Oryctolagus cuniculus: one gene and its partners. The protein of the gene in region 7 purifies or fractionates together with the protein of the main gene of each other region. This does not show direct contact. Links are inferred from orthologs where the notes say so. Each region holds a gene or a part of one and is shown on either strand. Other genes may lie near its edges. The genes, in order: MED26, MED1, MED31, MED20, MED7, MED8 and CDK8.

Region 1 (4,014 bases), on a different chromosome or scaffold from region 7:
AGCCGGCTCAGCGCTGTGTGCGGGTCCCCTCTCGCGGGCCCCAGGTCCTGTGCAATCTCCTGTAGCTGGCATTCTTATTAGCGGTTTCTGGGAGAGGGGGAGTTGCCGCCGGCCCAGTGTCCTCACAGAGGGCAGAGGTGAAGGCCTCGGTGTGGCTGCCTCGCTCGCTTGCTCGCGCTCCAGTTGTGTCCACGTCGGAAAGGAAGCAGCTTGCAGGTGACATTCTGAGACCTGCTCTGCCCCCAGAGGGCCGAGATCAGGATTCTGAGTCCAGGGGCTGTGTGAGCCAGTGGGCCTTGGGCCGGGAGGAGCTGTGCAGACGTGAAGTGGGCGGGAAGCGAGGAGGGTCGGGGCGGGCGGTGGCTGCGGAGCGCAGAGCCGCCGCCCTCTGCTGAGCGGAGCTCCCACCTGAGGCCTGCCGTAGCTCTCCTCCCAGGGCCACCGTGCGTTTGCACGCCTGGGAACCTCCACCGCTGCCGCAGCAGCTTCCCATTTCTGGGCGACTCGTGGGGAGCAGCCAGGCCTCCGCCCGCTGCCCGCACCCAGGCTGGTGCTTCTGTCCCCGACCAAGGTTCCAAGTGCGATTTTGTGCTCGGCCCGTTGCTGCCCGTGGCAGGAGCTCAGTGCACAGGGTCGTCACCCCAGGGACGCCGACAGGCCGCCCAGAGGGCTGATACTCCGGGGGCAGCAGGCCGGCCCGCCAGTGAGGAAGTGCTTTTGCAGGTGGTCACTTGGTGGCTGTGACTGGGATATCCCCCCCCCCCCCCCCAGCCGGGCTGTTCTTCCTCTGGGAAGCCGTAATGAGGGACTCTGCCCCTGTGGGTTTGAGGCTCCCGGGGCGGCGGGGGGGGGGGGGGGGGCTGTGGAGGAGGCGGGAGCGGGCAGCGCTGGGCTGTGTGGGGGCCGCAGGGGCCGCCCCTCCTTGCAGTGACTTGCAGCAGAGGGAGCTGCCTGGGGACTCGTGGGGTTTGTCAGAAGCAGGAAGACTTGGGCTGAAGAGCACGGCTGGACCAGAGCACACACGCGTGCACCAGCGGGGCCCGCTTCCTTCCCGTGTCCGCGCACACACGGCGCATGCCCAGCCCTGTGCAGGCGGCCTCCTGCCCAGCACCACGCAGGCTGTGCTTGGGCGTGGAATGGGAGCGACGGCTTGCTCCCTGATGAGCACTTCCAGAGCTTTGCGAGTAAGTGGTTTTGTAAATTCTGTCTAGACCAGTTCTGCCTTTAAAACTAATAATAAACCAGCAGCAGTGTCCACACTGTTAGATTCGGGGGAACCCGTTTGCGCAGGTGCTTTGGGGCCGCAGCCCCGGGAGGGGGGTACTGCCCACTGCCTGGGGCGTTGGAAGGGTGGCCAGACGGGGAGTCATCGGGCCAGCACGGCGCGGAGCAGGCTCCAGGGCTGTGGATGGGCCCTTGGCTCAGCGTTGAGTGTGGGCTGGAGACCCCGTGCGGCCTGGGGAGAGCACAGAAGCAGCACCAGGGCCATCTGGAGGTGGCCCTGTGGTTTCGAGGAACGTTCTGGAAACTGTGCATTTCCTGCTGGGGAGGGTCAGAGTCTGATGCCACTGTCCCTTCAGGCTGGCGGGCGGGGCCTGTGCAGCCTTCTAGCTGGGTGGTCTTTCTCCTTGGGCCATCTGTTTCTTTACCTGGAAATGGGGGCGTGGGGGTGAGCACTGAGAGATGTGGGCTCCTGTGCAGCCCGCCGGGCCGGGGCAGGCTCAGGGCTCAGGCCTGAGGGAGCGTGGCACACCGCCAGCTGCAGGCCGGAGAGGGCCCTCCCCGAGGTGGAGACGGGGCTGGGAGCGGAGGGACCTCTCCGACTGCACGGCCGCGTGTCTCAGTTCCTCGTTTCTGCTCAGGGCTGGAAATCCCCCGCGGGCAGCGTTGCTCGGGCGCTGCAGGCGCAGCCCCGCTTCCCCAGGTGCGGCTTTGCCGAGGCCGCCTGGGCTGCAGGTGCCCTCACAGCCCCGCGGCAGTGCGACTCGGACGGCGGTCTGGGCTCCTGGGGGCGTGAGGGTGGCCACAAGGCAGAGCGGCCACGGCCTGTGACCCAGCTGTGGACTCTGCACCATGTGCCTGGCTCCCGGCTGCTCCCGCACGGGTGCGGCGGTGTCCTCTCCACCTATGGAGACGGGCAAGGGCTTTTGCCCATGTCCTCACCCTCGTGTGACAGACCTGGAACACCCCTCCTGCCTGCTGGCTGGTCTCGGCTGCCCGTGCACCTGCCCTCTCTGTGGCCGTAGCCATCCTGGGCTCCCGCTAAGGGAGAAGCTTGAGTCAGGCCGCGGGCCGAGCGCTCAGCCCTGCCTTCTGGCTCAGGCACGCAGGCCGTTTCTGTGCTGGGACTGGCGGGCGGCAGACCCGCAGCCTGCGGGAGGCCCGGCGAGGAGCTCCGGGGGGCTCAGCAGATGGAGGGGCCGTGTCCTTTGGAGCAGAGGTTAGGCCAGCACGGCCCCCTCCCCGCACTGGTGGCAGATGGTGGAGCCACACGCCGCGGAGGGGCTGCCATCGGGTCTGTGCTCCCTCACCTGAGTGCCTGCCAGTCGTCTGGAGCCGAGACCTTCCGTCCGGTGTTAACAGATCAGGTGTGATTTGTCGTGTATATACATTTGTTATCTTCGGCAAATTTCAGACATCAAAGCAGAGAGGAGTCTGCTCCGCGTCCTGTTGGGTGGACAGCACGTGGAGCCAGTCCGCTCTGCTGCCGTCCCATCCCCGGGAGAGGGGCAGCGCTCCTGGGCCCCGGGCTCCCTGTGGGCGCTCCCCTGTGTGGGTCCGGCCCCGCTTCCTTCGCGTGTCGGCTGTGAGACGTGCTGGCCACACCTGTGCAGGAAGCCTCAGGTCTCCTGGGGCGTCCGCGCCTGCGCTTGGGTCTCGGTGGCGCGGGCACGGGAGAGCCTCGAGCGCCCGGCATGCATGCCGCACGTCCGGCTGGCCACCCTCACCTAGATAGCAGGTCACCTCTCCCTGCTAGTTCCGCCCGCCTTGACCCTCCAGCCCAAGACCAGGCGTCCCCACTCGTGTCTGTGAGACCCCAGAGACACGGGCTGGCCGGTGTGTCCTTTCCTGTCGGCCCCGAGTGCTCTCCAGGCCAGGATCCCGTGTGACAGTCCACAGCACCCCTGGGACTGCTGCCCGAGAGCCCTCGGGGTGGGCACCTCAGGGCCCCCTCCCACTCCAGGCCAACATGGTGGTGGTGGTGATCGGGACGGCCCCTTGGTGGAACTGGGCCGGCACCGGCTTCTCTGCTTCGAGGAAAGCAGTGATGTGCATCTGCTCGGGGAGCCCTGACAAACCTAAGAGGCCGCAGTCCCTGCCAACTCCTCCCTTCTCCGAAAGCCACTTGGCAGAGGGTGGGGAGGTGTTTGGCCTGGGAATGAATCCCCAGGAAGAAGCTGCGGGCCCCCAGCGCCCTGTGTGCCGTGGGCGGTGTCGGCAGAGCCGCCTTAGGCTGCCTCGGGGGCAGCGCCTGTGCTGGCATTCGGATCAGGCACATTTCTCCACGGCTCCGGGAGCGACCGAGACCTGGGGCGCGGCAGCAGCGAAGGCTGGTGGGAGACAGAGTGTGTGGGAGCCAGCCCGCGCCCCCCGTGTCTGTCCCCTCTCGGCCTTGCCCTGGTGGTCCGTCCTGGCCGCCAGAGCCCCTGTCAGCCACAGGCTCCCTTCACTGACGGTGGGAGGCCACTGGAGGGGTATGGTGTGGTAGGCGAGGCAGGTTTCCCGTGGCCAGCTCGCCTCTTGCTCCTCAGGGCCCCGCACGGCTGGGTGCTCGGTGTCCCCTGGGACAGAGTGGCCGTGTTGGGCTCTGCAGGGCTGTTGGATCAGGGACCTTCCATGTCCTGCCCGCCTTCGTGGGGGGCCGGCACTGCATTGCTGGGGGTGGGGGCCTGACTGCTCTGGAATGTTCCGCTGGTGTTCAGGGGCACGCACCCCTCTCTACCTGACCTGGCTTTGTAGGTGGAACCCCAGGAGCCTGGCCTCCTCCCCAGCGGGTAGAGAGATCTGCAGAGG
Region 2 (4,044 bases), on a different chromosome or scaffold from region 7:
CGACATAAATCAGAAAACATCATTAGAAACTCCTTTATCAAGACCTCGTTTTTCTTGGAAAAGAAACCCCCACACAGCCGAATCTAAGAATTGGCTAAACTACTTTTCGATATAATTTCTTCAAACCACATAAAGAAAATATTTTTAAAGGTGAGAAGACACATACCTTATGGGTCTGATAAAAGGAACACCATAGGACATTCCATTCAAGGTTTTAATGGGAACCCAAAAAGGAACCGAGTCTAATCATGATTCACGACCATGCCTACAACTTAGTGACAGTCATTTTCATAACATGCCTGAAATTTCTGTATAATATTTATAGAGAGCATACATTTGAACATGGTCTTACAATGGTTAGCTGATTTTCAATGTGAAAATACTTCCTTAATTTTTGGCCATAATTTTAAGAGATTGGTTGATAAGTATGATCAAGAAAACAGACCCTAATTGCCTATCTGATGTTTCATATTTTTCCATATAGCTAAAATTATATGGACAGGGAAGAAATCAATAACCAAAAGATGAATTTCCAACAGAGGTTAAGAGAAAGGCAGAAAGGATCAGCTCCTGAACTAAGAATATGAATGAACCTCTTAAACCCTTCGAGCCTCCCCTAGTTCTTGAACTGCCATGTATGAGCGAAGACCTGTGCTGGGGCCACTGGAAAGGAACACAAGATATGCCTGAGGAGGGCCGGCGCCATGGCTCAATAGGCTAATCCTCCGCCTTGCGGCGCCAGCACACCGGGTTCTAGTCCCGGTTGGGGCGCCGGATTCTGTCCCGGTTGCCCCTCTTCCAGGCCAGCTCTCTGCTGTGGCCCGGGAGTGCATTGGAGGATGGCCCAAGTCCTTGAGCCCTACACCCGCATGGGAGACCAGGTAAAGCACCTGGCTCCTGGCTTCGGATCAGCGCAATGCGCCGGCCGCAGCGTGCCAGCTGCGGCGGCCATTGCAGGGTGAGCCAACGGCAAAAGGAAGACCTCTCTCTCTCTGTCCACTCTGCCTGTTAAAAATAATAATAATAATAATAATAATAATAACAAGATATGCCTGAGGTGACATCTGTGAGGCAGTGTGATCAAGTTAACATGGGAATTACCATTGGTGCAAAAAGAAATGCTCTTAAAAGCAGAGACATTACTACTGAATAGCAAAGAAGGAAAAGTACATAATCAATATGGAGACATTAAAAAAAAAAAACAGACTGTTGACACTGGCACTGAAAAATAAATAGAAGGTCAGAGTTAAGGCAGCAAGATGATCTCAGTCAAGACTCAGACTCCTTCCTTCACGCCTTCATCTTCTGGAAAACTGGTTTGTAGGCTGCTTCAGCCAGCTGATTGCTCTGGGCACATTCCTATTTCCCACTATCAAGCCATTCATTCAAGCACAATTGTATGTGCTGCAGACACAGTAGTAAGCAAACCATACAAAACTCCTGCCTGATGGTGTTTCCACTTTACACCCAAGGGACACACATTTCTTCTCCTTCAAATCACACCCCTTTTTTTTCTTGAGAAGCATTCTGTAAAACGTCCTTAGTCTGAAACTCAAATCAAACATTTTCTGAGCAACTACTATGTGCCAGAGATTATACAGAGATGAATAAGGGAGCCGGTGTTGTAGTATCGCGGGTGAAGTCACCACCTGGGATGCTGACAACTCATATGGGCAAAGGTTCAAGGCCCAGCTGCTCCGCTTCCAATCCAGCTCCCTGATGGTGCACCTGGGACAGCTGCGGAGGATGGCCTCAGAGAGTGGCCCCCTGCACGCATATGGGAGACGCTGGGGAGGCTCCTGGCTTCGGCCTAGCCCAGCTCCAACTATTGCGGTCATTTGGGGAGTGAACCAGCAGGTAGAAGATTTTTCTCTCTCTGTAACTCTGCCTTTCAAATAAATACATCTTTAAAAAAAAAAAAAATGAATAGGGCAGCCCCCTGATCTACAAAGCTCAGAACAAACTGGAAGGATGAACAATGATAATAAAGTAAGCTGTGATTGAAAGTGCAGTGTGGAACTCCAGAGAATCGGAGTAAAAATTTCCATAGAAAAAGTCGTTTTCAACAGTTCTAAATCAGTCCGGCCACCGATGGGAACACTGTGACTTTTAGGAAGTGCAGGCATTTTGTATCCTCAGGACCAAATCACATCATTCACATCAAAATACTCTCCAGTACTTTTAGATACACGGTTCCGTATGGCTGTTTTTAGGCCATTATTCAATGGTCTCTTCCGGAATGAGTTGCAAACAGCTAATATATTCACTCGCCTGATCTTCCACCACTTTAGGCTAAAAGTGCCCAGAAGCCCCAGGTACTGTCTCTATATAAAAAGGAAATCTTCACCCAAGTTGGGAGCCCCCACCACCCTAAGTCAGCGCTCTATCACCATCAAGGAAGGCATGATGAGCATCTAAGACACACACATCCCGCATCCTGGACTCAGTGCCCCCGCGAAAGCGGCCCCCACGGGGCATCGGCCCCCACCTCCTCGCCCAGATTGGCTGCCCCCAGTTGAGTCCCGCCCCCTCCTTTCCCCCACTGTCACTCACCCTCGGTTTCCCCCTGAGCCTTCATCCTGACGACGGGCAGGGCCTGGGTCCGCCACAAGAGGAGAAGCCCGTTCCTTCCACTAATGGGAGAGCCACGTTAGTTCGGGCTCCCGGGACGCAGGGCACCAACAGTCCCTACTCTTCCCGGGAAGGCTCAGTCTGAAGTCCCCGGTGGCAAGAAGAGAAGGGTGCCTGCGGCCGCCGCCATCTTCCCCAACGGAACTTCCTAAAGCTCGCGAGATAAACCGTGATCCTGCGCGAGAAAGGAAGCGACGGGATACTGAAGTCTCGCGAGAGGTGAATGACGTACTTCCGCGAGATTTCTTCCAAATCCGGCTGTCTCTTAGCTCTTGGGTACTTCGTTCTGAACTTGCGAGCAGGTAGAGTTCGGTTGTTGTACGAAAACTTGCATTTTCATTTTAGCCGTTAGTTTGGAAACTAAACCCACAGAACCCCTTTTTTTTTACAGGCTAGATTTTCAAAGAATACTGGTATCTGAAATGTTTTATCAAATACAGTAGAGTTTCCCTTATATGCTAGATGCAGTAAAACTGTCATAAAAACACTGGCTCTTTGTAACACGACATTTGAAGGCTGCCTAGGACACTTAATTACCATTTTCTAATATTTTTTAAGTTTCAGGAATATTTCTTGAGCAGTTGCAGCAGTTTTGAAAATCTGAAGTGCTTTGGATTAAAATAAACTTGTTCTCAGCAGCAAGTGCATGTTATCACTGTGTCTTGGTGGAAACATGCAGTTTAGCTTGTATCTCCACTGCAGATCACAGTGTGTAGTCTTCTCTCTTGTGTCAATAAATCCTCATGAAGAGAAATCCATAGCAATGCTGGCAAGTGCATGGCCACTGGAGCTTAAAGGCTACTTTTAAAAAGAATTTTCTCATATACATCCTTCAAAAATGCGGCTGGAAAGTAGGATCTTACCTAGTTTTCTGCAAGAATATTAAGCAATGAATTTCTTTTTTATTTTTAAGATTTATTTATTTGAAAGGTAGAGTTACAGAAGCAGAGAGAGAGGTCTCCCATCTGCTGGTTCACTCCCCAAATGTCCACAACTGCTGGACCTAGCCAATCCAAAGCAGGAACCTGAAGCTTCTTCCAAGTCCCCCTGCTGCCCTCCCCCCCCCTCCACGGGTGCAGGGGCCCAAGGACTTGGGCCATCTTCTGCTTAAGCAATGAATTTCTACTGACTGTAGTCTCAGATTTTTTCCACATTTAAAAAATAGCATTCACATATCCAGAGCCATCTCAGCAAATAACTGCAATTCAACTGAGTAGGCACAGCAGTATAAATTTGATAAAAAAAAAAAAAAATAACCTGGCAACTTGTTTCTTTACTGCCACAAAGGTAATTATAACATTCCCTTGAAAATAGGATTACACTTTTATTGTTTTTTTCCTCTTATCGTCATTCTTTGGAGTCATATTATACATAGTGAATTTCGTAGGGGCAGAAATGGCCCCGTGTTACTGA
Region 3 (4,142 bases), on a different chromosome or scaffold from region 7:
GTCTAAGGACTGGGTTGCAGCAGTTTTATGGTAGCCTCTGGGGCTTTATGACTTCTCCTGGCCTGAGCCCCTATTCCAGGGGATGGCCCGGTTCACTGCCCTGCCTTTACATGTAGGAGCCCGAGTATGGACTGGAAATGGCAGATGTTCTGCTCCCAGTAGTAGACACAATTGGGCCATCGCTGGCCTGCTGGAAGACCCCTTTGTCCTGCTGGGTAAATCACTGACTGCAAGGCAGGGTCAAAAAGCAACAGACACCCCCCCCCCACACACACACACACACTGTCCAGGGGAGGGCACGGCCTCCCACCCTCCTCTGGAGCCTCTCCCAGGCCTCTCCTCTCCCAGCTGCAGCGCGTCTCCAACTGGGCACCACTGACACGTTAGGCCCCGTGATTCTGTGGTTTTGGTGCTGGGATCCCTGGCCTCTACCCACGACTTGCCAGCAGCACTCCTTGTACCTAACACAAACGTCTTTAAACATCGCCAAGTATCCCCTGGGGGACAAAATCCTCCCCCCCCCCTCCAGGATGAGAACAACTGTTCTGCAGCCCACACGGAAGGCAGAAGGTATTTTAAAAATGCGGTTGCATCATGTCAGTCCTGTGCCGAAAACTATGCAGCGTGTTCCTGTTAGACTAGAACCTGAGTTCCCGTGGTGACTCAAAGGCCCTCTAGAAACTGGTCCTGCCTGTTGCCGTCCCCTCTCTGCCTCTCACACACGAAGCTCCCAGCTCTCCCTTCTTCTCTCGGGGAACGTTGCAAGCTTGCTCCCACACACCCTTCGCACTTCTCTTCCTCCGGCCTAGGGTGCACTCCGCTGAGACCCCCGGGTGGGGGTGGGGCGCTCGGTGTCACCACACAGGTCTCAGCTCCACTGTGGCCTAACCAGCAAGGCCTTCCCCGTCCATCCCTCTATACCACCACTCTCCGCCTCTTTGCCCGTCAGCCCCGCGTGCGGGCTTTGTCACGCGTGGGGAGGCCCAGGGCGCGGCTCGCGCAGGAACCCAGGAACCGCGGCTGGGCTGTTTCTCACACCGACATGTGGGCTGCCTCCAGGAAGCCAAAGGCGACTGGGGGACCCGGCTGGACACAGTAGGCAGCCTCGCCTCCAGCCGCTTTGACGAGGCCCTGAGCACTCGGGAGGGCACGAGGGCGCCGCTTCCTGGAAGGCGAGGTGTCCACACTGGGGTGAGGACGGCTTTCCCCCAAGGGCCGAGGCCATTCTATAGGTGTTGAGGGGACCGCTCAGCACACCTCTACGCTACGTCACGAGGTGAGAAATGACGTCACAGTAGCGACCTGCCTCCTAGGCGGCAATGCCACTACACGCTGACGTGAAACACCTCCAAATACGGCGCTCCCCGGGCCGCAGCGCCCGGCTCAGGAGCCCGAGCGGGCGGAGCCAGCAGCGATGGGCGGAACCGCTGTCCTCCCAGCGCGGCTGGGCCCGCCCCCGTATCCCACAGTGCCCCGGGGCCGGAAGCGGGGTGCTGAGGCTTCCGGAACTTCCCCAGCCAGACTGGGCAGAGTCTCTGCCGAGCTGGTGAGAGTTCGCGTCGTTCCTTGTTATGGCCGCCGCCGTCGCCATGGAGACAGGTGAGTCGCGCTCTGAGCCGTGCGCTCCGCCCGGACCCCTTCTCCTGCCTGCCCGGGGCCTCCTTCAGGCCTAACGGAAGGGGCTTGGAGTGGGACCCGGGAGGCGAGAGGGCTCTTGGAGCATCTGGGAAGGTGCCGGCAGCTTTGCCTTTTTCAGAGTTTGGTGGCTTCGCACATGTTTTCTCCCCGCTTGCTGTTCACTCAGCGACCCCACCTTCGTCCCAGCGTGGGTGAGACTGAGGGACAGCACTGGAATCTTTTCTTTAAAAAAAAAACAAAAACTAGTATAAAGAGAACAGATTGCATAGGTACAGTTCCAGGAGACCCATACTTCCCTCTCTCCTCCTCCCCCCACTCGCGTTCCCTCCCCTACTTTTCATTTTTTTTGTTGCCAAGGCATAAATTTGATACAGTCTATAATAACGGCTTATTTCACCACGAACCGTAATATAGAGCCAGTCAAAAGTAGGAAGACCACCAGGAGCATAAACAGGGGCTGAAAGTGACAGTCGTGTCACCAGACAGCACTTGGGTCTGCTTCCGCGGGAGCTTGCATGAGTTTGGGGCGCCCTGGACCAACTTGCGTTATCCTGCCACTGATGCTGCCATTCGGGGTCTTCCGGCGCTCCGCAGTCTCCTAGCTCGCACTCGGAGCTCCTCACCGCCATCGACAGTAGCTACAGTGTATTAATAAAATACAGGGAGGTAGACTGTCACCCCATACCCGGTCACTCACTGCTGAGATGGCTCCAGTGACCCACCGAGGGAGGTCTCCTGCCGCATCTGTGTTCCCCTTGTCTCTGATGACTTCTCTTCAACGTTAGAGGGGTTTCTAGCTGCCTTAATCAGAGTTCTCCTTTTCTTAGGTTCCTAAGGAATTATGCCTCCCAGAAGTGTAGCTCAGCATTACGCAGGTTTCCTGGCTGCTGTTTCCTTTCGACCCATCGGTGTTGTATTTAGCGACCTTTGTCTTGGATGATTTTTGCTGTCTTCTCTCCTAGATGATGCTGGAAATCGACTTCGGTTTCAGTTAGAGTTGGAATTTGTACAGTGTTTAGCCAACCCAAATTACCTTAATTGTAAGTTGTTCACCTAATTAAATTGAATAGCTATTAATGATTTTTTGACAAGAGTTGCATTTCCTAATAGTATCTACTTTTATATATTCTCAATTGAATAGAATTGCACTTAAAGCAATTCTGTAGCTGTAACTGAGCAAACTAGGACTTGTGGGCTGGTGGTAGTCCAAGCATCCGTCTGACCTAGGTTTTGTTTTTTTTTTTATGCCTTTCAGTTCTTGCTCAAAGAGGTTACTTCAAAGACAAAGCGTTTGTTAATTATCTTAAGTACTTGCTGTACTGGAAAGAACCAGAATATGCCAAGTATCTAAAGTAAGTTTAATTTTTTGTAATCCTCGGTGTATGTATGTTTTACTAAAACCCAAAACGTGGATACGTAAATACTTCTTAGTTTCACACTGGTAAAAATGTATGTTGAATCTGCACGTTCTGCGCGTTCGGTTGTCACTGCCTACCTCTTAATTTGGATTCCTGCAGAAATCACTCACTGTTGGCTCTGTTTTCTGCTCTTTCCTCACTACCTCACCCAAAGCCAATAAAGCAACGCGATTTTCTACCCAGAAGCCGATGTGGTCCCTGGGAACTGTAGCTTAGAACATGCTGTCTGTTCCTTAGACCTGGGGGGCCCTCCCTTCCTGGCAGTGAAGTCTGCGGCCCGGCCGCATCTGGCCCAGTCTTCTTGACCTCCTCTCTACCAGTCTCCCCATTTCTCTGGGTTTCTGGTCTGAAGGACTCTGGTCCTCACATGCAGCAACATAGCCATTGACTGATAATAAAAGATCACACAGAAGTACCTGTGAGGAAGATGTGGAGGATGTCACTGTGTCTTCCAGCAGCGATCTTTGTGCCCAAATGCTTTGCATTCAATAACTAAAAAACACTGCACACTCACAACTGTTTCCGTACACATGCCGGTCCTTCAAAAAGTAAATGGAAAATGGATCCAAAAGACGAGTTTGTATTGGTGCAAAAAACTTTTGGAGTCCATGTGTAAGGGATTTCCAGAAGTTCTTGAAAAATTGTGTAATATGAAATAACCAAGTATAGACTACAAGCTTTTTATATCCAAATAAGCTTTTAATTCAGGTTTTTCCACAAACTTTTTGAACTACGTGTATGTGTGTTTGCCATTCAAGTTGTTCCAGAGACACTTTGACTTGAAGGCCAATTACATTTGCAAGGGGCATATTATGACCAGAAACCTATTCCCTTTCAATGCGGAAGGCTGCACTTACTACTTTGCTTAGTATTAGCCAGGTGGTTGGAAAGCAGTGGTGAAGCTTTTCAAATTTTTTGAAAAATTATTTTATTTGGAAGGCAGACAGAGGGAGAGAAAGAAGTCGCCCATCTGCTGGTTCACTCCCCAAATACCCACAGCAGCCATGGCTGCGCCAGGCCAGAAGCTGGGAATCAGGAACTCAGCTTGCATCTCTCATATGGTGGCAGGGACTCAAATACTTGAGC
Region 4 (4,064 bases), on a different chromosome or scaffold from region 7:
ACATCTTGCCATGTGTTCTGGAATACACAAAAGCATAAGGAACTCTCATTAATGCCCGTGAATTCCAAGGCACATTCCAGCCGTCCTACATACCCATCTCACTGACCTTGGCTTCCAAGGGTAGAGGCAGCCGTGTGATAAGTCTCACAATCCACACAAAACGTTCCTTGCTTCTCTGCCCCAAGCATCTCCAATTTTCGGGTGAGGAGCTCCACGGTCTGCTGGACACTCTTGCCCTCGGCCACAGGCATCTGGGACACACTGGGAAGGAGAGAACCACAGTGTCAGTACCCAGACACACACATACTCACTTAGCCATTCTATCCACAGAACTGTGGCTCAGCCAAGCCAGAAGCTACGACCCCACCCCTCCCTCACGTTGTAAAGATGCGGAAATAGAAGCCGCCAGCCAGCCAGCGCCGCGGCTCACTAGGCTAATCCTCCACCTAGTGGCACCGGCACACTGGGTTCTAGTCCCAGTCGGGGAGCTGGATTCTGTCCCGGTTGCCCCTCTTCCAGGCCAGCTCTCTGCTGTGGCCAGGGAGTGCAGTGGAGGATGGCCCAAGTGCTTGGGCCCTGCACCCGCATGGGAGACCAGGAGAAGCACCTGGCTCCTGCCATCGGATCAGCGCGGTGCGCCGGCTGCCGGCTGCGGCGGCCATTGGAGGGTGAACCAACAGCAAAGGAAGACCTTTCCCTCTCTCTGTCTCTCTCTCTCACTGTCCACTCTGGCTGTCAAAAAAGAAAAAGAAAGATTTTGGTGCCAAAACATTGCATAGTTTTTCATAATACATACTTTCTGTGAACTTTCTGAAGTACTTTCAGAGAATCCCTGAAGCTACAAGGGACAGAGGTCCTAGGATTTTGGAAAAGTTGATAAGGGCGCCCCCAGGAATGGCCGGCAACAAAGCCAGGAACTTCATCAGGTCTCCCACGTGGGTGCAGGGGCCCAAGGTCTTGGGCCATCTTCTACTGCTTTCCCAGGCCATTACAGAGAGCTGGATTGGAAGTGGAGCAGCCAGGACTTGAACCAGTGCCCATAAGGGATGCCGGCACTGCAGGCAGTAACTTAATCTGCTACACACAGTCCCAACCCCTGTGCTGCAACTTTTCCACCTCCATCCCGCACCAGCACCCTCACTCTGCAGGGCTTGGGAGGGTTGTGGTAGGGGAAACAAGAGTGCAAGCCCCAGAAACCCCTGGCTACTGGGAGAAATTGTGTTCCCTCTACCCCCAACTATTTTTAAAAGAGAAGCCTAGGGGGCCAGTGCTGTGGTGCAGTAGGTTAATCCTCCATTTGTGGTGCCGGTATCCCATATGGGTGCCGGTTCGAGTCTTGGCTCCTCCTCTTCCAATCCAGCTCTCTGCTATGGCCTGGGAAAGCAACAGAAGATGGCCCAAGCGCTTCGGATTGGCGCAGCTCCAGCCATTGGGGCCATCTGGGGAGTGAACGAGCAGATGGAAGACCTTTCTGTCTCTCCCTCTCACTGTCTGTAACTCTACCTCTCAAATCTTTCAAAAAAGAGAAAAAAAAGAGAAGCCTATAACTCCTGGCTTCAGATATCCTGGCCTCCAGGCCTCTCTGATGAGATGCTCACAACCAAGACTTAAAAAAAAAAAAAAAAAGAAGAAGAAGAAAAAAGGTGCAGAGACCCAGCACCTTGGAACTAAGGTCTCCAAGATCCCTGGGTTCATACCCTTCCCCTCCACCCCATCCTCTTCCATCTGGGTTTGAGAACATGTTCAGAGATTTAAAAGTCCATTGGGGGCCAGTGCTGTGGCGTGGAGGGTAAAGCAGCTGCTTGTAGAGCTGGCATCCCATGTGGGTGCCGATTTGAGAGCCGGCTGCTCCACTTCCGATCCAGCTCTCTGTCATGGCCTGGGAAAGCAGTAGAAGATGGCCCAGGTGCTTGGGCCCCTGCACCCCCATGGGAGACCTGGAAGAAGCTACAGGCTCCTGATCGGCCCAGCTCCGGCTATTGCAGCCATTTGGGGAGAGAACCAGCAGATGGAAGCTCTCTCTCTGCCCCTGCCTTTCTTTAACTCTGCCTTTCAAATAAATAAATCTTTTTTTTTTTTAAGTGCACTGAAACTGAATCAACCGTATAAACGTAGTAGGAGGCAGGTCATGAGGAAGTAAAGTGTCTGGAAACCTGATCTTCTAATTCCCAGTAGTTTCCATTTTGATCCTGTAGACCCGAATGAGAACCAGATACAGGCTGATTATTGGGTGGCTACAGGTAGGGGGAGGCGAACACACAAACACCGCCTCGTTGCCTATCTCCTATCAGCTTTAACCCTACCTGCGGGTGGGTTCTAGTCTGAAAAGCCCTGTTTCCGACCTCGAAGTCCCACTTTCTGCACTACTAGGATTTCAAGGGTAGCAAGACGTACCAAGAAAAAGAGAAGAGGGTACACAACCCATGCATAAGGTTCCTGAGATAAAACCTTTTCCTTGCTTCCTTCCAGGAGCAATGGGGCCCATTAGGGCCCGAGACTCACGGCCCTTAGAGTGCCCACATCCACGCAGCCCGAGGGCATTTTGCTCAGCTCCCGGAGAACGGCGGACTTCAGTCCCCGACCCTCCAGGTTTCAAGGGACCTTCACGACCCAAGTCCCGCCCCATAAAACCCTTTGTGATCCTACCAGGTCACTCCCATAGCGTCAGGCCTGGAAAGCGGCACGACCACACAGCCGAAACAGCGCTCTCCCGAAGCCCACAAGAACTAAAAACTACCGCAGGCTCGGGTCGCGGGAGGGGCTCCGGAAGTACGTAAAAACAGAGCGCCGGTTAGACGCACCAGCAGCGACTCTGGGTGACGCCTCCAGTGAGGTCATCGGCCCGATTCCCAGCCCCTCCCCTGGCTTGCAGTTCCGGAAGTTTCCGTTTGGTTGGCCACCCTGGTCCTAGATCCAGAAAGCTAGGAAAGCGTGGCCCGGGCTGCCACCATTTAGAGACGTCAACGTCAAAGGCAATGCATTTGTTCCGGGCTCCGGCTCCAGGACTCGGGAGTTCCCTGCGGGAGTGCAGTGGTGCTGGCTGCTTTTCTGGCCTCCGAACGCGTAGGGGCGCTGTGAGCGCGTGGCCTCTCGGCACAGACCTGGGCGTTCATTGCCGAGCGCACATCCTGGGCTGTCGCCGTACCCACGTGTGAGTTTGCCGGGCCGCATTATCGAGAAAAATGCCGAAATTCAAAGCGGCCCGTGGGGCTGGGGCTCAGGAAAAACACGCGCCCCTGGCCGAGCAGATCCTGGCTGGGAACGCGGTGCGGTCAAGTGCCCGGGAAAAGCGGCGGGGCCGCGGAACCGGGGAAGAGGAGGAAGAGTATGTGGGGCCCCGGCTGAGCCGGCGGATTTTGCAGCAAGCACGGCAGCAACAGGAGGAGCTGGAAACCGAGCACGGCTCTGGGGACGGGCCCGCCAAGCCTCGGGAGCGCGCCACGCGGCTGGGTGAGCGTCCGCGGGGAAGGCAGTAGTTGGGTTGGGGGGTGGACGGCCCACAGGTGTCCGGCAGGGGAGTACCTTGGATTCAAAACCGGGTTGCACGTTGCTCTCTACCGAGAGCAGGGCAGGTGGAAGACCGAACCCTGCAGGCCCGCTCCCTGTTTTTAGTGCTCCTTTCGCCGCGTCCCGCAAGTTAGGCCAATAGGAAGTGATGGCTCAGGCCACCAAGTTCTCCTAGCATTTGTCCAACGGTTTTGTAAATATGGGATGCTCGCTACCGGCTTTGCACGATGCTGGGAGTTTTGATGGATTGCGTGCAGAAATAAACAAGATATAGCTCGGGACCTTACAGTCTAAACCAAGAGAGAGACAATTAGAACAGTAAATTCCATGGGAAAGAAAGTCTCGTTTCTCTGGAAACGATAGCATTCGTGTAGGGGTCAGAGTTGCCCAGCCTGGAAGCTGAGACCTGAAACCGAATGTTCATAACAGAAAAAGCAGTATTGTTTAGGGGCCAAGTGGAGGGAGAGATGATTGAAAAATGTTGACTGTTTTCTCATAGGGGAGAAGCCTTGACCTCTGAGTTGTTTAACCGACTTCTCAGAGCTTATCTTATTTGT
Region 5 (3,865 bases), on a different chromosome or scaffold from region 7:
CAGAACTCCTTGATTAGCTCTGGGCTAAAGTGAAGCTAACCTATGGCATTGCAATCCATCAATACCTCTCCCCTCAATGCGCACACACACACACACACACACACACAAATTTACAAGTAACTGTTGTGACTCTTAACAATGTTAAATGATTTCATTTCTTACATGCAAGGATTTTCAAAGTGGTCCCAAATTGGTTTTGTACCTCAGCCCAACACTCCTCTCACAGCAATGTATTTTTTAAAAAGTCAAAAGAGAAACGGTTGTTGAGTTGTTCAAGAGCCATTTCCATCTTGCTCACTGACCAAGGTATGAGGGAGGAGGTGTGGAACAAATTTAATTTAATTAAGGGAAACCAGAATGTCCTTTGGGGGTCTCTGGTCCCAAGGTCTACACCAAGCATATTCCAGTTGGTAAAAAAAAAAAAAAAAAAAAAAAAACCTTAAATTTGAGACTTGTTAATTAGTTCTTGTCTGCTAGAAGTGTTAATTGGAAACAGCCTCTGTCTGAATGCAAAGAATGCATATTTCACACAGGGAAATTGGCCTGTAACCATTTTACAGTGAGTTGGTGAGACCTTAATGCAGCAAATCCCTATGCTAGTAAACAGGAAATGAGGGAGAAATCAAAAGCACATCACCCAGGAAAAGGCCCATCTCTACAGATGGTAATCTTGAGCATGCATCAGAATTGGAGGAAGGCTTAACACCAAGCTTGCCACGCCCTGTGCACCAGCAAGTTTCTGGTTCAGAAGGTCCAGGGTGGAGCCAGAGGAGCTTGATTTCTAACAAATCCCCAAGTGATGCTAATGCTGCTGGTCCAAAAGGACAATGGAGAACCACTGGCTTCTGTCAGAGAGTAGCAGGCAAAGATCCTGATATGAGGCCAATGGGCGGGAGGGGGAAGGAGGGAGGAGAAAAGAAAGTACAGAAATAAAATCTCAGTACCCAAGACAGTTTATTTCTTGTTCACATTAAGTTAGCTGTAGAAGGAAGAATGGAGTTAAAAGAGGACCTAATCTTCACATTCTAGAACCAAATTACTATAAACTGTTGTCACCAGGCTTGCATGGGTGTGGGCACACACCTAGCCGACTGGGGAACAGAATGGAAGATCGTGCAAGAAATCTTAGGGCACAGACTCCATTTCCCAGAACTTAGTCACATGGCCTCACACAGATATAGGGCAGTAGGGAAATGTGGTCACTGGCTGAACAGTGATATCTCAGCAAGAAGAAGCGCGAATCACTGGTGGACATCGAGCAGTTGCTCCCACCAAACCCTTCTCCCACTGCAGTCTACCAGCCTTGATCATGTCTGAGCTTAGCTTTAAAAATGTGTAATTTCAAAGAATTACAAATATTTTTAAAAATCTGTAATTTCAATCCTCTTAATTACTAAAATCTGTAATCTAAAATTTCTAACTAAGCTGACCAAAGACTTTCTACCCAAGTGACTGAGAAAAACCAATTTATGGGACCTACCAAGGTTCAAGATAAGGAAAAAGAGTCTACTGAGGTAGTAGAGTTACAAGAATCACAAGGAAAAATAAAGTTTTTGTTTCATAACAAATGGGTCTCTTTTAAAATGCTATACTACCTTATGCAGATTAGGTAAATTTTTAAATATTACATAATTTCACATTTTAGAGTATCTATCCCTCATTCTTAAAGCAAATGACAAATTTACTTTTTAAGGATGAAAGTTTGCTATTACCAAGGACACTGTCAAACTTTTACTCCAACTCCAAAAAAAAGAATGCCCCACACATCTGCAGCAAACATTTTCTTTTTCAGGTCACTATTCTTAATTTACGGGTCCCTGTTTGCCTACACTTGTTATATACTGAAATTGCTGCCTATGGCATTACGTAAGTGAAAAAGCTGGAGAGTCAAGAAAAAGGCCATTTAAACTTTTAGTTATTCATTTTAAGACTGCCCAAAAGAAAATAAACCAGTAATATTATACTATTTACCAAAAGGGAAAAAAGAAAACTAACATGAGTCACGGTCTTTCATTCATTTCATCAATTAGGACACACAAGGCAGCATCTTTTTCTATAATCTGGTCCCTTCGATGACCTGAATTTTCTCTTTGCTGCTCACTCTGTCCAGTACAATTGTTGCTATCATCAGCATCCATTGGTTCAGTTTTTACTTTTATTCCTGCTTCTGAGTGGGGTAAATCATCAGGCAAAGAGGCCAAGCAATTCTGAATCATCTCAATCACTCGCTCCAGATGCTTCTGAAACCTCTCGGCTGTTTCAAGCCTCTGTCGTTTCTGGACTTCCATCATAACTCTCAAGGTCTCTCTTGCTTGGTGGGGTCTGTATTCATTTATGAGATGATGCACATGGACAAAAAGCAGCTTAAGATCTTCCAGCTTCTCTTCTCGTTTTATACTCCCAGGGCTCCTTATCAAGATATCTAAAAGGTCCAAGAAATTAATAAGGATAGACATATTGAGTTTCCTCAGTTCTTTCTTGTGATCAAATTGCATAGGATGAAGCCTTTCGATGCCCTGACTTTCCAAAGGGCGGATAATAAGATCATCACATTGGAACTGGTTGCCAAACATCATATAACTGTCTTTGATTGGAGGGGGTGGCTTGGGAGCTAGACCTTCCTGAATATTTTCATCAGTGTATTCCTTGATGTACTGCATAGGAGGTGGAGGAAGTGCACTCACTTGCTGTGGCTCACCCATTGTGGAAGATCAAGCACCTACAAAAACAAACCAAAGATTCACAGAAGAACTACAAAACAAACCTGTCACATTTAGTGTTTACAGACAGAGCACTCCCCTTTTCTTCCGGTAGTTTCAAAGCTAACACTTACAACTCAGAATGGATGCCACCCTTTTCTAATTAAGCACTATATTCTCAACAACCCACATTATTTTTCCTTCCCTGTTAATACTTCTCTCCCAATATCTTGGAGTACCTTTTCATTTATAAAGAAAAGTCTTCTGGATTCTACACCACTTACCTTTTATGTCCCATTTCTCCACATCTCTTTATAGCAAAACTACACATGCTGTCGCCCAAACACATATCACAATCACTTTTTTTTTTAGAAGGTAGATGATTTTAAGATTTACTTTATTGATTTGAAAGGCAGAGTTACAGAGAGAGAAGGAGAAACAGAGATATCTTCCATCTGCCTTTTCATTCCCCAAATAGCTGCTAAGGACTGGGGCTGGGCCGGGGCCATGTAGAATCCAGGAACTTCATCCGGATCTCCTTTGTGAGTGATATGGGTCCAGGCACTTGGGCCATCTTCCACTGCCTTCTCAGGCATATGAGAGGAAGCCAGATAAAATTGGAACAACCAGGACTTAAACCAGTGCCCATATGGGATACTGGTGTTGCAGGGAGCCATTTAACCTGCTGCGCCACAATGCCAGCCCCTACAATCACTTTTACTATTACGAAGTGATTTCCCAAAGTAAATACTTATAACTCAAACATTTTGACAAAATTAACATTACTAAAATCTAGATACCCAGTATCATCCAAGGCTCCTAGATGAAATGATTATCCAAGTCTGTATCTTTTTTCTACATTTTATGCTACAATTTACTAACCTTTCTGTATCTACTATAGAAACTTGAAACCCAAATTCAAACCCACAGCTTCTATGGCCACAATCACTTCTACTTACTCCTTTTTAAACATAGGTATTATCATCCAATCTGAAGATTCTCAAGTGCTCTTTTAAACCGATCTGAACAGTTTTAAGACACACCCCTCCGACGTCAGGAGGCGGCAAGTACCCGTGTGCCTCTGCGGATGCGCACCCCTCGACTTCAGCTGGCATCTTTCCAGGGTCAACTCCCTAAGAGGCATCACTGTCTCACATCCTCTCCAC
Region 6 (4,231 bases), on a different chromosome or scaffold from region 7:
GACAAGTCCTCAGATTAGGAAAACTGAGACTGACCCCCAAAAGACTCATCCCCATCACGAGCCTCGGCAGGACCCAGACCTGGAACAGGAATGCGGGGTTAGGAAAGAGGGACACGCTTTCAGCTCCTGACGGAGGCAGAAAAAGGCAGTTCATTGTTTGAATGGGGTGAGAAACACTGGAAAACAGGAACCATGGCTATTCTATGACAAAAAAAATCAGAAACTGGGTGAAAGCCTCCTTTCTGCCGGGAAACAGGAGCCATACTTCAGCAGTAGGCTGGATCTAAAAGACAGCCACATTAGTGGCAAGAGATCCAGCATGGACTGAGATATAGTGGGAAGACCCACTGAGAGAGAACTCCTGACCAGAGATGAAAAGGGTAAGAATCAAAAGCGGCCAGCGCCACGGCTCACTAGGCTAATCCTCCACCTAGCGGTGCTGGCACACCGGGTTCTATCCCGGTCGGGGCACCGGATTCTGTCCCGGTTGCCCCTCTTCCAGGCTAACTCTCTGCTGTGGCCAGGGAGTGCAGTGGAGGATGGCCCAAGTGCTTGGGCCCTGCACCCCATGGGAGACCAGGAGAAGCAGCTGGCTCCTGCCATCGGATCAGCGTGGTGCGCCGGCCGCAGCGCACCAGCCGTGGCAGCCACTGGAGGGTGAACCAACGGCAAAAGGAAGACCTTTCTCTCTGTCTCTCTCTCTCACTATCCACTCTGCCTGTCAAAAAAAAAAAAAAAAAAAGAATCAAAAGCTAGAAAGAACGTGGCTGGGCCGGTGCCTTGGCTCACTTGGTTAATCCTCCACCTGCGGTGCCAGCATCCCATATGGGCACCAGGTTCTAGTCCCGGTTGCTCCTCTTCCGGTCCAGCTCTCTGCTGTGGCCCAGGAGGGCAGTGGAGGATGGCCCAAGTGCTTGGGCCCCTGCACCCGCAAGGGAGACCAGGAGAAGCACCTGGCTCCTAGCTTCGGATCAGCGCAGCGCCGGCTGTAGTGGCTGTTTGGGGAGTGAAGCAACGGAAGGAAGACCTTTCTGTCTCTCTCTGTCTATATCTCTACCTTTCAAATAAATAAAAATAAAATTAAAAAAAAAAAAGAAAGAAAGAAAGAACGTGGCTTGGGAAACTGGGCCGCTCTCTACTTCCTTGCCACGGAGGCCCTCAGCCAAACTTCACTTACTAAATGTTGGGAAACCAAGCTCTTTCCAAATTACCCGACATCTGCAAACTGATAAATGGTTACATCATCAGAGATGAACTACTCGTCAGGAGCCCTCCCCAGTTTGCCCTGGCAACCCTTACCAGGTTAGCCTGTCATACTCGTTCTCCAGCTTGTAAATGAAACTTCCCAGTGAGTTCTTCAGATCAGCCACTTGACTCAGCAGTGCATCTAATGACGCCTCCAACTGCTTCTCCTCCCTCTGCACCAACAGAGATGGGCTGGTTACCCAGAGAGATATGAGCATGACACCTTTAGAAGAAGGCTGAAAAGCGTCGGAGAGAGTATGCCAACCGCAGTTGGCTAACACCGGATCTCACTGGAATGACAGCCAGGTTATTTTCTATCTTTGGTATTTGGGTTACAGACAGCACCAACCCTTAGACCTTTCACCTGACCTTAAGTCCTCCTACCAACTGATTCTCGCTCTCACACCTCCAAATCCAGGCCTGCTTTTCCTCTGTATTGCACGTGCCCTACTCTCCCTTGTTGAGAAACTCCTGCCAGACATAATGCCTGGGATTCATCATCCTATGCACATTTCTGTGGCACGTGTGCCCTAGCTTCCTTCGTCCTAGAATCTGCCCTGTTCTTGTCAACAGCACAGCCCCTGCGAAATCTGCCTGGACATGAAGCTTTCTCTGAACCCTAGTTCTGCACGCCCCTGCCCCTCGCTCCTCATTCGTGCTTAGTGGGTGATGTTTCAACTTTCTCCTTTATTTCTGTGCCAATATTCCTGTGCCTCTTTCACAAGCTCAGCTGACCCAGAAGGACTTACTGAAACACTGCCCCATCCAAGAAGCAAAGCGACAAGTGAAAAGCAAAACCACCCACCCAGCTCACATGACAAGCAATGTCAAGTAGTGGGGGTCTGCAGGCATTCCCTTCCCACGGTGTGGGGGGGTATCTTCCGTTTTACTTCATTTCCTCCGTCTTAATAACTCTCAGGCACAGACTGGGAAAAATGATGCCAACCCCACACTGCGCCTGACAGGAGCATCATCTTGGGTTTCACCCAAGGTTTCAGTTGATAACAACTTAGCTTCTGGCCAGCTCGGCCCACAATTCCTTCACCCTTCGGGCTTCTCTCCGATTGCAGATTCGCCGTTACGTCTGCATCCAACAGCCTAGGCTGAGGCTTGAGCCAATTCATGTCTCTCTCGGGCCGTCTCCCTTGGATTGTATCTCGGCTTTCGCAAACTACATCCTGATGCTTTCCCAGCCCCAAACAAGCGGCGGCTGCCTCCGCCCTCCCGACTTTGCTAGTCTCTCCCCTGTCAGCGGACTCCGCCCCCACGTAGCATCCGCGCCGCTTCTCCACTTGGCCTCGTCTCCCCTCTGCCCTGGCCCCGCGTCCTCTTGCCTCCGCCCTCTCCTCTTCGGTCCAACTCCTAACTCTCCGCAGCCAGCCCACTCTCGCTGCGTTACCCAAAGACAGCTAGCTGCCACTAGGCCCACCCCGCTTCTCACCTGCATTGCGGCAGCCGTGGCAGCCGCAACCACTTCCTCTTCCGGTTTCCCAGTTTCTGAGGGTTTTGTCCACCAATCAAGGAAATCGGGGCTTGGCCCGCCCACCGACTTCCGGTTCCGGCCCGGTACTGAGGTAGCCAGGTCAGGGGTCACAGTGGATCTGCCTCACTGGCCCGGGCCGGCGCGGGAAGGCTGTGTGATGGCCTCGGAGCGCCCGGAGCCTGAGGTGAGGGGCGGGCGGGCGCAGAGCTGGGCCCTGAGACCCGAGCGGGAGGAGCGGGCGGTGCGGGCAGGCGCGACCTCGGCCTCCTGGCCGGCCGACGGCCGGGCCGCGTAGCGTCGGCAGGGACCCTTGCAGCCCCGCATCCCCGCAGTCCGTTCTTTCCTCCGGAGGCTGGAGGAGAAATGCTTCGCTCGCTCTGTTGTGCTTACTGAAATCTCTTCCGCGTCGCCGACTTGACCTAGTGACAGTGGTGTTAATAAACCCTGTGATTTGGTTCCTGTCGCGGTTTCAGTGCGCTGGACGGCAGCAGCCGGTGCGTGTCTTCAGACACGGGCGTGCAGTAAACAGCACGAGTTAATTTAGTTTTAGCACTCATGATGGGGAAAGCAGCTTTGGTTTTATTGGGGGGGGGGGGGGGCTTGGCTCGGAGTGAGACCCAGTTCGGATTTTAGCGCTGCTATTTAGCTCTCTCTGAAGCCTGGGGCAAGTCTTAACTTCCTGGATTCTGTTTCTTTGTTGTTAGTCTGTTGTGAGAATCACGTGTGTGAAGCCAGAAAAGGCTTAAGCTCTCTCTGTCAGATGCCAAGGACCATGCAAGCAACTTTACATACATTGTGTCATTCACGTTTGCACAATATCCATTCTCATTTTCAGAAAAGAAAACTGAAAAGTAAGATAGGTCAAGTGCTGTACATACGCCTGAGAGTAGCAGATTTTTGGAGTTAGAAAATCTGAGCATAAAATCCCAGATTTGGGTAGAGATGCCCAGCACTGTTGGAGAACATACCAACAGATGGGAACAGTGAGGAATGTGTGTAAGAATGCAAATAGGCCGGCGCCGCGGCTCACTAGGCGAGTCCTCCGCCTGCGGCGCTTGCACTCCAGGTTCTAGTCCCAGTTGGGGCGCTGGATTCTGTCCCGGTTGCTCCTCTTCCAGTCCAGCTCTCTGCTGTGGCTCGGGAAGGCAGTGGAGGATGGCCCAAGTGCTTGGGCCCTGCACCCGCCTGGGAGACCAGGAGAAAGCACCTGGCTCCTGGCTTCCGATTGGTGCAGCGCCGGCCGTAGCAGGCATTTGGGGGGTGAACCAACGGAAGGAAGACCTTTCTCTGTGTCTCTCTCACTGTCTAATTCTGCCTGTCAAAAAAAAAAAAAAATACAAATAGTATACCTTACCTGCATGCCGGCCGCCATTGTAAGCGGTTTACCAATGGCAGCTCATCCTCTCCACCCTTTTCAGTTAAGGAGACTGAGGCTCAGAGATGTTATGAGTAGCAAAGCTACACAGTATTAAATATTAGAGCTGGATTCCAAAATAGGTGGTC
Region 7 (4,204 bases):
TTGATCAACTTATTATAAAAGATTAAACTGCCAGAAACTTTATTTTACCAGGACTAAAATGTATTAAATTACATTTTACTGACATAAGATCAAAAGAACCTCATAACTACAATCTGGTATTTTACCAGAGTCAGGTTATAAAAAGAAGCCAAACCAAGAACTATTCCCTCTGGAAAACAAACTGCTTTAAGCAATTTTTTTATATATATTTTTTTTTATTTGACAGGCAGAGTTAGACAGTGAGAAAGAGAGAGACAGAGAAAGGTCTTCCTTCTGTTGGTTCACCCTCCAAATGGCTGCCACGGCCGGAGCTAGGCCGATCTGAAGCCAGGAGGCAGGTGCTTCCTCCTGGTCTCCCATGCAGGTGCAGGGCCCAAGCACATGGGCCATCCTCCACTGTCTTCCCGGGCCACAGCAGAGAGCTGGACTGGAAGAGGAGCAACCGGGACTAGAACCCAGCACCCATATGGGATGCCGGCGCTGCAGGCAGAGGATTAACCAAGTCAGCCATGGCGCCGGCCCCTGTTTTAAGCAATTTTAAAACTCTCTTGACATTTGATCCATTAAAAAAAAGTTCATCATATAAACAGAATCATTAAAGGATGCTGAAAAACAAACCCAAAGGATTACAAATAAAAACTTTTCCCAAATGCAATGTTACTGGTTCAACCATCACAAATAACTAATAAATGTTTCTACACAATACACCAGCTTTTTAAAAAATAATTTACTATTTTTAAATTCTTTTCAAATTATTCTTAACAGGCTAAAATAAAATGACCATTAAGATATAAAATAACAAAATAACAGTACTTCCTACCAACACACAATATTAGTTTTTAAATAAAATCTGAATTACAACAAATTTGCATATTTTATTAGCTTAAAGTGGGAATTTATGAAAATAGAGCTGGCTTCTCAAAGGTATTAAAACTAATTTAAAGTCACTAGAATTTTATAAAACAGACAACAAATTGGCCAAATGTACTACCATGTCTAATCTTCTGGGATTGGAGATTGTATGAATATGCCCAAAGTTACATAATATTGGGGGGTGGGGAGATGGTTGATGGCCTTTCAAAAATGTATGGTAAATTAATAAGGATAATTTCTAAAATATATGTCATAACAGAGTAAAACTTCAATGAGAAATCTAATTAGACAACACCAGAGTCAGCAGTATCTCCAGACACTGATTTCTCAAATGTCACCAGACTATCCATTACGCTAAAAAGTACCTTTAAATGCACGTAGACCCAGAGCAGCAAGTTTTCAAATCCTTACCTTTTGTGGACATCTGTACTACTTTACTACTGCATCAAAGCACTGAAATACATGCTCCAACTTAATTAGAACTACTATCTTTCTCCTGGGCTCCATTTTAATATTTTTTCAAAAGACACTTCATTCAATAAACCGAAGAAATAGAATGAGTACATATACATTTCCTTTTCCAACATCCAGAATATTAAAGTATTTCTAAATACGGCCTCCCCCTACTCTCCCAGAGAACTTGCTTCAGCTTTATGAATGGTTTCACGTTTTTTAGTGCTAATGTATTTCTGAACATCTGAACATCCCCTCCTACCTAATTTGAAAAAATAAAATTACTTTCAACATCCAACAGCAGCCATGCAAGTAAAGCTATTTTGTTTCCAATAAAACCCAAAGATTATATAATAAGCTATGACATTACCTTCCCAACAATGTTTCCCAATATCTCCTACAGAGACAACATCCATTTTCACAAGAGGAAAACAAGTAGTGAATAAAATATATTTCCTCCCCAACTAAGAACTGCCTTCTCTTTTGTCAATATTACAACACATTCACCTACTGACAAAGGAAAAAGGAACACTTCACTAGCCTATTAGGAAACTAAACTGGGAGCATTACCAGTCAGAGATTTAATTGAGTTATTTCTAGGGAAGAATATTTAAAGCAGAGATTATTTAAAGCACACAGTCAGGTGCTAAATGTTGGGGAAACAGCCGGCACAAGGCAGCCCCTATTTGTCACTTGTCTTTTTCCCCACTACCCACCCTGCACCAAACCCCCATTGTTCTAGGTAAAAACTCACAGCTAATGATACCCAAATAGCAACTGCTACATCTGTGTGGCCGATGGTCACGAGGAACGCTCCAGAACCATACTGACTTGCTGCCTTCTTCCCCACAAATAAAACCCCAATTTGATCATAAATTGGTCACAAACTGGTGGGGGAAAGGCTCGCAGCTTCCCTTGCAGACTCACGGATGTCATTCCAGAGTCGGCTGAGCCAAGCCCCAGAACAGTACCATCATCAACCGACCGACCGGAGGAAAAGAAAGCACTGCAAGTGCGCTTTACAAGCGCATTTACAAGAGGGAGGAAAAAATCCAGGACCGAAACCCTCGGAAAGTATCCAGTCCACTGGGCAGAGGCTCCTGTCCCCACCGAGCACCCCAGCACAACGCAGATGCAGCACGCAGGCTTTCCGGTGGGCTCGCAGCCCTCGTCCACCACTGCCTCCCCAACACCGGCTGGCGGGGACACCTGCGGGCGTCGAGGGAGTCAGCGCCCCGCACCCCGGCGGCCGACTCTCCCTCGGGGCTACCTGCCTCGGCCTGCGGGAGCGCCGCCCGGCACGCGCGCGCGCGCGCACACACACACACGCACACACTCACACTCACCCATCTTTCCTCTTGGCTTTGTAGACGTGACCATAAGTGCCTCGGCCAACTTTGCAGCCCTCGTATTCAAACAGGTCCTCGACCCGCTCCCGCTCGCTGCTCAGCTTCACTTTAAAGTCATAGTCCATTGTCACAGCCTCCGAGGCCGGAGAGCTGGGTCGGGGGGCCGGGGGCCGGGGTGGGGACCGGGGAAGCACGGGCAGCCGCAAGCCCCCGGGAACCCGCCCGCTCTACGCCCGCCGGCCGCAGCACCAGCGCGACGGATGCGGCAGCAGCAGGAGGAGGCCGCGCGAGAGCGCCGGGGACATCCAGGAGGGCAGCGGGGCAGAGGCCGGCCGGGGTGGGGAGGTTCCCCCCGGGCGAAGGAGAGCCGAGGGACGACGGCGGGGGGTGGGGAGCGGGTGTCTCTGCCCTTGTCCCCGCGGGCTCCGCGGGCGCCGGCTCCGCTGCTCTCTCCGGCCGCGCGTGTCCTGCTCCCGCTGCGGTGGGAGCGGCGGGGCGGCCGCGGTGGGCTCTGCTTCTCTCACACGCGCACTCACGCCTCACCCTCTCTCTCTCACACACACACGCTCACACTCACTCACTCACTCACTCTCCCATACACTCCAACAGAAAGGCAGCGCCGCACAACAGCCGGTACCTCCTCAGAGAGAGGAGGAGGGAGGGCACCCGCGGAACACGGCCGCGGCTGTCGCAAAAGCGTCGCGAAGCCTGGGGCAGCCTCGGGCCCCGACTCCAGCCGGCTCCCGCGGCGGCTGGCAGTACCTGCTGGCGCCCGCACCCCGAGGGCACTGAGGAAGGGAGCCGGGGAGCCACTGCCCAAAGCTGCCGCCAAACGTACCACGTGGATGGGCGCCCGCGGTGGCCCGGCCCCAGACTACAACGCCCAGAATGCTTGGGCCGCCGCTGTGCCGCCCCTTTACGGCTCCACCCCGCACGGTGGGAATATGGAGTGTTGCGTGATGGGATTAGTAGTCCGAGACGAGATTAGTTTCATTCACTTAAAGGGATAAAAAAAAAAAAAATGTTTTCTTCTTTTTCTTTTTCTTTTTCTTTTTCTTACAGTGGTATTACTGGAGTCCGAGTTGAACCAAAACTGGACTCAAGAGGCTCACGTACGAGGGAAGCTAAAGAATATTACACTTATATTCTGTGTCTCTTCTGAACTCCGGAGATTAAAGAACATCATCTTTATCGGACGAATGCTATTTGTAAACAGCGCCCTGGCAGCCACTGGAGACACTCGTGGCGGTACCAGTCCGATAAGGGGCCGCGCAGTGGTATCAACGTACCGGCATTCACTGGAAACCTAGAATGCGCTGATGGGAAAGCGAACCAATAACGAGCGTCCACACTGCTCCTGGACGCTGTTGCCCTAGTCCCGGACGGCTCTCACGGTCCTTCCCGTCCATTCAGAGGCGACGCTATTTTGAGTATGGCCTTTTGTACTGCTGCCCTTAAAGCACCAGTTTGGGGGTATAATTACTAGGTCTAAATCCACAGACGTTCGTTTGCTGATCATTTTAAGGTAG

What was found.
Region 1: the proteins of CDK8 (region 7) and MED26 purify together in Homo sapiens (affinity purification with mass spectrometry; 5 studies listed by BioGRID and IntAct, with this or other methods). This does not show direct contact. The link is inferred for Oryctolagus cuniculus from reciprocal best matches to the Homo sapiens genes CDK8 and MED26.
Region 2: the proteins of CDK8 (region 7) and MED1 purify together in Homo sapiens (affinity purification with mass spectrometry; 14 studies listed by BioGRID and IntAct, counting the BioPlex papers as one, with this or other methods). This does not show direct contact. The link is inferred for Oryctolagus cuniculus from reciprocal best matches to the Homo sapiens genes CDK8 and MED1.
Region 3: the proteins of CDK8 (region 7) and MED31 purify together in Homo sapiens (affinity purification with mass spectrometry; 7 studies listed by BioGRID and IntAct, with this or other methods). This does not show direct contact. The link is inferred for Oryctolagus cuniculus from reciprocal best matches to the Homo sapiens genes CDK8 and MED31.
Region 4: the proteins of CDK8 (region 7) and MED20 purify together in Homo sapiens (affinity purification with mass spectrometry; 8 studies listed by BioGRID and IntAct, counting the BioPlex papers as one, with this or other methods). This does not show direct contact. The link is inferred for Oryctolagus cuniculus from reciprocal best matches to the Homo sapiens genes CDK8 and MED20.
Region 5: the proteins of CDK8 (region 7) and MED7 purify together in Homo sapiens (affinity purification with mass spectrometry; 7 studies listed by BioGRID and IntAct, counting the BioPlex papers as one, with this or other methods). This does not show direct contact. The link is inferred for Oryctolagus cuniculus from reciprocal best matches to the Homo sapiens genes CDK8 and MED7.
Region 6: the proteins of CDK8 (region 7) and MED8 purify together in Homo sapiens (affinity purification with mass spectrometry; 7 studies listed by BioGRID and IntAct, counting the BioPlex papers as one, with this or other methods). This does not show direct contact. The link is inferred for Oryctolagus cuniculus from reciprocal best matches to the Homo sapiens genes CDK8 and MED8.

Annotation. Positions count from the first base shown.
Region 1 is NC_091447.1:64,938,934-64,942,947, reverse strand, and holds the start of MED26 (mediator of RNA polymerase II transcription subunit 26), read left to right. Parts: upstream 1-1,214; 5' UTR 1,215-3,904; coding exon 3,905-4,014. UniProt on the Homo sapiens protein: Component of the Mediator complex, a coactivator involved in the regulated transcription of nearly all RNA polymerase II-dependent genes.
Region 2 is NC_091448.1:22,905,989-22,910,032, reverse strand, and holds the start of MED1 (mediator of RNA polymerase II transcription subunit 1), read right to left. Parts: upstream 2,801-4,044; 5' UTR 2,579-2,800; coding exon 2,554-2,578; intron 1-2,553. UniProt on the Homo sapiens protein: Component of the Mediator complex, a coactivator involved in the regulated transcription of nearly all RNA polymerase II-dependent genes.
Region 3 is NC_091448.1:49,926,626-49,930,767, forward strand, and holds the start of MED31 (mediator of RNA polymerase II transcription subunit 31), read left to right. Parts: upstream 1-1,342; 5' UTR 1,343-1,571; coding exon 1,572-1,599; intron 1,600-2,600; coding exon 2,601-2,678; intron 2,679-2,893; coding exon 2,894-2,990; intron 2,991-4,142. UniProt on the Homo sapiens protein: Component of the Mediator complex, a coactivator involved in the regulated transcription of nearly all RNA polymerase II-dependent genes.
Region 4 is NC_091436.1:127,988,594-127,992,657, reverse strand, and holds the start of MED20 (mediator of RNA polymerase II transcription subunit 20), read right to left. Parts: upstream 2,801-4,064; 5' UTR 2,661-2,800; coding exon 2,647-2,660; intron 262-2,646; coding exon 107-261; intron 1-106. Other genes in the region: BYSL (bystin), read left to right, coding at 3,183-3,450. UniProt on the Homo sapiens protein: Component of the Mediator complex, a coactivator involved in the regulated transcription of nearly all RNA polymerase II-dependent genes.
Region 5 is NC_091437.1:44,110,628-44,114,492, forward strand, and holds the start of MED7 (mediator of RNA polymerase II transcription subunit 7), read right to left. Parts: upstream 2,703-3,865; coding exon 2,001-2,702; 3' UTR 1,996-2,000; intron 1-1,995. UniProt on the Homo sapiens protein: Component of the Mediator complex, a coactivator involved in the regulated transcription of nearly all RNA polymerase II-dependent genes.
Region 6 is NC_091438.1:129,634,518-129,638,748, reverse strand, and holds the start of MED8 (mediator of RNA polymerase II transcription subunit 8), read right to left. Parts: upstream 2,801-4,231; 5' UTR 2,693-2,800; coding exon 2,687-2,692; intron 1,438-2,686; exon of another isoform or gene 1,419-1,437; coding exon 1,300-1,418; intron 1-1,299. Other genes in the region: KICSTOR complex protein SZT2, read left to right, coding at 2,886-2,912. UniProt on the Homo sapiens protein: Component of the Mediator complex, a coactivator involved in the regulated transcription of nearly all RNA polymerase II-dependent genes.
Region 7 is NC_091440.1:96,555,484-96,559,687, reverse strand, and holds the start of CDK8 (cyclin-dependent kinase 8), read right to left. Parts: upstream 2,801-4,204; coding exon 2,673-2,800; coding exon of another isoform or gene 2,459-2,672; intron 1-2,458. Other genes in the region: collagen alpha-1(I) chain-like, read left to right, coding at 2,459-3,611, 3,738-3,985.